Callithrix jacchus: one gene and its partner. The protein of the gene in region 1 interacts with the protein of each later gene in a pairwise test. Links are inferred from orthologs where the notes say so. Each region holds a gene or a part of one and is shown on either strand. Other genes may lie near its edges. The genes, in order: TSKS and TSSK2.

Region 1 (3,845 bases):
GATTACAGGCGCGCGCCACCACACCCGGCTAATTTGTCTATTTTTAGGAGAGACGCGGTTTCACCATGTTGGCCAGGCTGAGGAGAAATGTCTTTTTTACAGAAAGACATTACGCGTTCCAAGGACTGGAGTCCATTAATGACCAGGAAAGAAGCACCTTTCTCCCTGGGGATAACGCCATTAAAAATACTTAGCCCGGCGCGGTGGCAGGCGTCAGCAATCTCAGTTATTTGGGAGGCTGAAACAGGAAGACTGGTTGAACCCAGGAGGTGGAGGTTGCGGTGAGCGGAGATCGACCCACTGCACTCCAGCCTGAGCGACAGTGCAAGACTCCGTCTGAAAAAAAATTTAAATTAAGAAAAATTTTAAAAATTAAAGAAAACAATAAATAAATGGGGGAGGGGTGGAGCCACCCTCTCTCCTGCCCCAACTCTCCATCTTCCTCTCCTCCCTCACCTTCCACACCTAGCTGTAGGCCCACCGCACCTAACATTCTCTTGTTGATCTATCTACCTGTACATTGCCTTTTCCCCCGACCCTAATGCCCCATAGAATATGAGACTCTGCAGGTCAGGGTCTGGATCTCAGTCCTCTTCCACCGCAGTCTCCTAGACCCCAGGCAAGCATCAAATCCAGGATGCTACATGAAGAATCAAGTACAAGTGCACGGGGCTGGGCGACCCCACACTTAGTCTCAGGGAAAGGGAAGTTGGTCTTCTCCCAAGAACCGGTGGGCCAACCCATTGCAAGTTACAAACTAGCATGAGTCCATTCACTGGAGCCTGTCGCTCTGAAGACGGTGGTGGGGGGTGTCACGTTGGGCATACAACTGGAATCCTGAACAGGAGGAGTCCACTGAGAACACTGGGGGGATGACCTGGGCCAGCAGCTCTCCCTACCCTGTGTCCCCCCCACTCGTGGGGGCCCAGTGGTTGGGTCCTTTGTGAGACAGGCTGAGAGGACAGTGGACCCTGGAGGGTCTGTGGTTAGAACAGGTGGGAAGTCTCAGAGGAAGGAGCCCCTGGGAGCCAGACTCCCACGCCATGGCGAGCGTGGTGGTGAAGACGATCTGGCAGTCCAAAGAGATTCATGAGGCTGGGGACATCCCTGCGGAGGTCGAGAGCTGCTCCCAGCTAGTCCCTGAGGCTCCCCGGGGGGTTACCAGCCCGGACAAGGGGATTCCCAGGAAAAAGAAGGCTGTGTCGTTCCACGGGTGGGTTTGGCGCACCCTGCCGGGGATGGTTCTAACGCCCAGCACTGCCTCCAACAGAGCAGGAGTCCCACTGTGGGTGCTGGAGGAAGAGGGGGGAAAAGCCAGCGGGTGAGGGGCAGGAAAGAGACAAAAAGCAGCAGGGAGGTAGAGAGGAAGAAGGTAGTGGGGATGAATGGAGGGAAGAAAAAGCCAGTGGGGAGGGAAGAAGGGAGGCTAGTGAATGAAGGAGAAAGCAGGCAGCGGGGAAGGAGAAGGGGGAAGAAAGTAGGCAGTGGGGCCAGGCGCGGTGGCTCACGCCTGTAATCCGAGCACTTTGGGAGGCCGAGGCAGGCAGATCACAAGGTCAAGAGATAGAGAACATCCTGGCCAACATGGTGAAACCCTGTCTCTACTAAAAATACAAAAATTGGCCGGGCGTGGTGGCTCACACCTGTAATCCAAGCACTTTGGAGGCTAAGGCGGGTGGATCACGTGAGGTCGGGAGTTCAAGACCAGCCTGACCAACATGGTGAAAACCCGTCTTAAAAAATAAATAAATAAAAATACAAAAATTAGTGGGGTGTGGTGGCACCCACCTATAATCCCAGCTACTCAGGAGGCTAAGGCAGGAGAACCACTTGAACCCAAGAGGCAGAGGTTTTGGTGAGCCAAAGACAGAACCACTGCACTCCAGCCTGGGCGACAGCTCACACTGTAATCCCAGCACTTTGGGAGGCCAAGACGGGCAGATCACCTGAGGTCAGGAGTTCAAGACCAGCATGACCAATATGCAGAAACCCCTGTCTCTACTAAAAATAGAAAATTAGCTGGGTGTGGTAGTCCATGCCTGTAATCCCAGCTACTCGGGAGGCTGAGGCAGGAGAATCGCTGGAACCTGGGAGACGGAGGTTGCAGGGAGCCAACTGCACCACTACACTCCATCCTGGGTGACAGATCAAGACTCCATCTCAAAAAAAAAGAAAGAAAGAAAGTAGGCAGCAGGGACAGAGAAGGGAGAACCAGGTAGCAGTGAGGTTGGAGTCAACAGGGGGTGAGGTATGCAGAAAGGAAGGCAGGAGGGGCCAGACCACAGGCAGGAGTTGACCTTTCTGCCTGTTTCTCCTCTGTAGGGTGGAGCCCCCGATGTCCCACCAGCCCATGCACTGGTGCCTGAACCTCAAACGGTCGTCGGCCTGCACCAATGTGTCACTGCTCAACCTGGCCTCCATGGAGCCCACCGACTCCTCGGGGACAGACTCAATAGTGGAAGACCTCAGCAGCCAACTCGCCGGGCCCCCTGCCTCCCCCACCCTACCCTGGGTTCTGGATGACCCAGACATCTCGGAAATCCTGGTGAGGGCCCCCCACACCACCCTCTGGGGAAGACCAAGGTCCTCCAGGTGCTGGTAGCAAATACTTAGGACGGAGTGGGGTGTTTTGGATTTGGAATGAGAACCTTCTGGTTGCTTTTTGAGACCCAGAGGAACTAACAAGGATCTGCCTCCTCCTTTCCTGACAGCCAGCTGTGAATATGGGAGTTGGTCTTTTTTTTTTTTTTTCCAGAGACAGTCTCACCGTGTTGCCCAGGATGGTCTCAGACTCTTGGGCTCAAGGGATTCTCCCACCTCGGCTTCCCACAGTCCTGGGATTATAGGCATGAACCACCACACCTGGCCTGGGTGTAGGTCTTTAGTTCATACAGTCACTCCCAAATGTCCCCAATGAGGCTGGGCTCAGGAACCTGCACTTGGGGAGCTCCCAGTCTGGTGGGGGACAATAGACACAGACTAGGGTAAGAAATTCTGTAATGGAGGAGAAGAGCCCCTCAAGCCAGGCTGGGGGTATCAAGGAAAGCTTCCTGGAGGAGGATGTGTTGCAACCCTACTTTAGTGAATGAATAGGAGTTCTCTGATGGGAGTCACCTAAGAATCTGGGACAAAACTGAGAGGTGAAGCAAGATTTAGAGGGCTTTAGGGAATTTCTGAATCTCTGCTCCTCACCCCGCCTGGTTTCCCCTGGGCCAGGCCTGAAACGGCTCCACCAGATACTGAGATACTGAGAACTACACTAACCACAACCATGGTGTTTGTTTTTTGTCTTTTGTTTTGAGACGGAGTCTTACTCTGTCGTCCTGGCTGGCGTCCAATGGCATAGTCTTGGCTCACTGCAACCTCCATCTCCCAGGTTCAAGCAATTTTCCTACCTCATTCTCCCAAGTAGCTGGGATTACAGGTGCCCACCACCGTGCCTGGCTAATTTTTGTATTTTTAGTAGAGACGGGGTTTCACCATCTTGGCCAGGCTGGTCTGGAACTCCTGACCTTGTGATCCACTCTGTGGGCCTCTTCCAAAGTGTTGAGATTACAGGCGTGAGCACCAGCCATGATCTTAATGCTGTTGAGATTCGGTAGCATTTACTGAGCATTTTCCATGTTCAGGGAGCCCCAGTTTACCCATCTGTAAAATGGAGATGCATGCATTTGTTCCTGCATTTTTAAATTTTATCTATTTTTGAGGCAGGGTCTTGCTCTGTCTCCCAGGCTGCAGTGCAGTGGCGCGATTACAGCTCCCTGCAGCCTTCAGCTCCTGGGCTCAAAGGATCCTCCCATCTCAGACCTCAGTAGCTGGGACCACAGGCACCCACCTGGCAAATT
Region 2 (3,911 bases), on another chromosome or scaffold:
TGCTCAAAGGCACTGGCCCCTACCCTCACCCCAAAGCCAATTCTACTCTCTCTCTCTCTCTGCCAGTGACCATCTTAAAACACACTGGGACGCCTCCCCCGTCCTGCACCCTGCAGCAGCTGCCTCTGCTGCTCAGAGAAGAAGCCCCAACTCTTTCACTTCCCTCCTGACTTCTACTTCCCAGTCACTTTGAGAAAAAGCCCTCTCTTCTCCCAGGCTCTCTGCTGCCTAGGTGCCTTCCTGCTGCCTCTAAGCAAGGAAGGCCCTGCCCCACCCCTCAGACATGCAGCCACTTGCCAGCTGGCATGCACCAAAGCCCCGACCCACCCACACACAGGCCCCCATGTGCTGGACCAGCAGCAACTCACCTACCCGGCTCTCTACCCTGAGGGGCCTGGCGCCTCTGCTCCTAAACACAGAGCTGCTTTCATCCACCAAGCTTGGCACCACTGCCAGCCTGACTAGTCCAGGGCAGTCCCTCCTAGGTACCACGGGTCCCAATGTTCCCAGAACCAAGCCGGGTCCAGCTGCATTTTCTCGAGGCCCAACAAGAAGAAGCAGACAAACTAGGAAAGAAGGGAATTTATTACCGTAACCGGACACAGGAAGAAGGCCAGAAATAATTCCACAGACCAACTCGAAGTATCACAATTTCCTTGGTGTTTATATAGGTTGGGGTTATGGGCATATGTGCAGTACAGCAATCACCTAAGTCTATTAGTAACTAATTTGGTTTCAAGTAGAAGGTCAGAGACAAAAAAAATGCTTGCGAAGTCCGATTACAAGAGGCCCAGTAGCTTTAAGGCCTGCCTACTGTGCTACCGGAGTGATTATTTCCATCTTTACTCCTTTACAGCTTGGTCTGGAGAGCTGCCTTACACTCCCAATGAATCTATTCAAACGGCTGCCTCTCCTACCTTGACTTGTCTCAGACTGTGTTGACCCAGGACAAGTCCTGGCACTGGGAATATAAAACTGTTCCCATTATTTTGGCTTGCTCCAGCAAGGGAGAAGCTGCTGACCACGTTGCATTTCTAGCTTTGATGTCTGGACACCGATTTCCCTAGATTTAACTATTTGCTCAATGTTAAGGCATCGCTATGGAAATTTGTCTGTAACTGGGGTGCTATGCAGGCCTGTCTGTATGACTGTCAGGGAGAACTGTCCTGCCACACGAAGGACACTAGGGGGCTTTTCTTCGTGGCCCAAAGAAGCTGCAGGAAACCCACCCTAGTGGGACAAAGACCAATGGCAGGGTCAGTCCCCATAGCCAGGTGAGGGAAACAGGCTGGACGCGGGCCTCCTCCCCTTTGGCCTGACGTGTGACAGGGAAGCCAATGCAAGGAGCAGCAGCAGAGAGGGTCACCACAGTCCTGTCCTGTGGGTGGGCTTCCTTCCAGTGGGTGGGGAACGGGTACTCCCACCCCACTCCTCCTTAGCTTTATGACTTCATTTGCTGACGTCACCCAGAGACAATGCTGAGTGTTCTACCCAAGTCAAAGCCAAGCCCAGCCCAGCCCAGCCAGACGCCTCCCAGTATCGTAAATGAAGACAATGCCTGTTGGCCCACGTGGTGGGGGGATGTAGACGGCAGTGGCGCCAGCCGCTTCTGGCACCATGGACGATGCCACGGTCCTAAAGAAGAAGGGTTACATCATGGGCATCAATCTCGGCAAGGGTTCCTACGCAAAAGTCAAATCTGCCTACTCTGAGCGCCTCAAGTTCAATGTGGCTGTCAAGATCATTGACCGCAAGAAAACGCCCACCGACTTTGTGGAAAGGTTCCTTCCTCGGGAGATGGACATCCTGGCAACTGTCAACCACTGCTCCATCATCAAGACCTACGAGATCTTCGAGACCTCTGATGGGCGGATCTACATCATCATGGAGCTTGGCGTCCAGGGCGACCTCCTCGAATTCATCAAGTGCCGGGGGGCCCTGCAGGAGGATGTGGCGCGCAAGATGTTCCGACAGCTCTCCTCGGCCGTCAAGTACTGCCACGACCTGGATGTCGTCCACCGGGACCTCAAGTGCGAGAACCTTCTCCTCGACAAGGACTTCAACATCAAGCTGTCTGACTTTGGCTTCTCCAAGCGATGCCTGAGGGACGGCAATGGACGCATCATCCTCAGCAAGACCTTCTGTGGGTCGGCGGCGTATGCAGCCCCCGAGGTGCTGCAGGGCATCCCTTACCAGCCCAAGGTATATGACATCTGGAGCCTGGGCGTGATCCTCTACATCATGGTCTGCGGCTCCATGCCCTACGACGACTCCGACATCAGGAAGATGCTGCGTATCCAGAAGGAGCACCGTGTGGACTTCCCGCGCTCCAAGAACCTGACCTGCGAGTGCAAGGACCTCATCTACCACATGCTGCAGCCTGACGTCAGCCAGCGGCTCCACATCGACGAGATCCTCAGCCACTCATGGCTGCAGCCCTCCAAGCCCAAAGCCATGTCTTCTGCCTCCTTCAAGAGGGACGGGGAGGGCAAGTACCACGCTGAGTGCAAACTGGACACCAAGCCAGGCTCGAGGCCTGACCCCAAGCCCGACCATAAGCTTGGAGCCAAAAACCAGCACCGGCCGCTGGTGGTGCCCGAGAACGAGGACAGGATGGAGGACAGGCTGGCCCAGACTTCCAGGGCCAAAGACCATCACATCTCCGGAGCTGAGGTGGGGAAAGCGAGCACCTAGCATGGCAACAGCCCCATCATGTGTAGTGGGGGCGGGGGGGTGGGGGGGGCGTGACGCAGTCGGCCTTCACATAAACTAAGTAGGCAGGTAGGATCTGAAGAAGACACAGGTGCAAGTAAAATTCGTCAATTAAACCACTATTTTGATTACATTCCATTAGTTTTCATCCACTTAGTAGCAAAGATGCTCCTTACTGACCACCAAGTAAACCACAGGGTGTGTACAAGCATCGAGAGTGCCCAGTGAGGAGTGTTTTTCTCTGGGACTCGGCCAGCCGCCTCAGCTGATGCACAGTGGTCTCCAGCCTAGGAGCACAGGACAGGTGCTCAGGCGCAGGCAGATTCAGGTGTGGCCTGGCCTAGTTGGGGACGAGAGGGCCTCTGCCAGGGTCCACCCACCAGGCCCCCACTGTCTCTCTTTGACCTGGCTCTATCCCCATTGCCCCCAGGCTGGCCAGCTCCAGAGGTCTACAGCTCCCCCTGGCCTCCTGCAGTTCAGCCTGCTCTGACCTGCCCCCGCTCCCTCACAACCTCTCCCTCAGCATCCTCCTCTTCCTCCATTTCCCAGTCATTTGAGATTTCTGTCCTCAGCCCTCACGTTGCCTGCCCTGCCCTCCAGGGGCAGCCCCAGCTAAGACCTCACCTCCCCTGTGCCCTCCCCGCCCAGTGGCCCTGTAAGCTGCTCAGCAGCCCTTGATGATGGTGCACTGGCTAGTCTTTCGTGCTTTCTGCTGGGTCACCCGCTGCTGCCGAAGCATGCAGCCCATTCGCCAGCCAAGTGCTGGAGGTGGTTAGCACCTAGACAGGGCTCCTCCCCACTCCCTAGGGACTCCCTTGAGATAAAAGCCACCCTTTCCTATGGGGTAAAGCACCAAAGGCCCCACCTTCCCCACTCATGAACAGTCCCAGCCTGATCTGTCCAGCACCCCTACGTCTACCTGCAGGTCCCAGGGCACATCTATTGCTCAGTTACCCCAGGAACTTGCAGGAACTCACTGTCGAGGAGCATAGGTTAGCAGTGGGCCCAGGAAGGTGGCAGAGTCAGGCTCTGTGCTGGCCTCCAGAGAACTTCAGCACTTAGGGAATGAGTGAGGGGACCAGAGAAGATCGCCTAGCACAGGCTGGGCACACTCAAAGCAGGAAGGACCCCGGTGTGAGTAGAGGCCAAGCGTGTCCCTGAGCAGCGACACCCCCACCCCGAGGGCACAATCTGTGACC

Evidence for each region.
Region 2: the proteins of TSKS (region 1) and TSSK2 interact in binary tests that used the Homo sapiens proteins (3 or more experiments, as listed by UniProt). The link is inferred for Callithrix jacchus from reciprocal best matches to the Homo sapiens genes TSKS and TSSK2.

The regions. Positions count from the first base shown.
Region 1 is NC_133523.1:43,532,182-43,536,026, reverse strand, and holds the start of TSKS (testis-specific serine kinase substrate), read left to right. Parts: upstream 1-988; 5' UTR 989-1,043; coding exon 1,044-1,213; intron 1,214-2,322; coding exon 2,323-2,545; intron 2,546-3,845. UniProt on the Homo sapiens protein: May play a role in testicular physiology, most probably in the process of spermatogenesis or spermatid development.
Region 2 is NC_133502.1:210,756,757-210,760,667, forward strand, and holds the start of TSSK2 (testis-specific serine/threonine-protein kinase 2), read left to right. Parts: upstream 1-1,524; 5' UTR 1,525-1,617; coding exon 1,618-2,694; 3' UTR 2,695-3,911.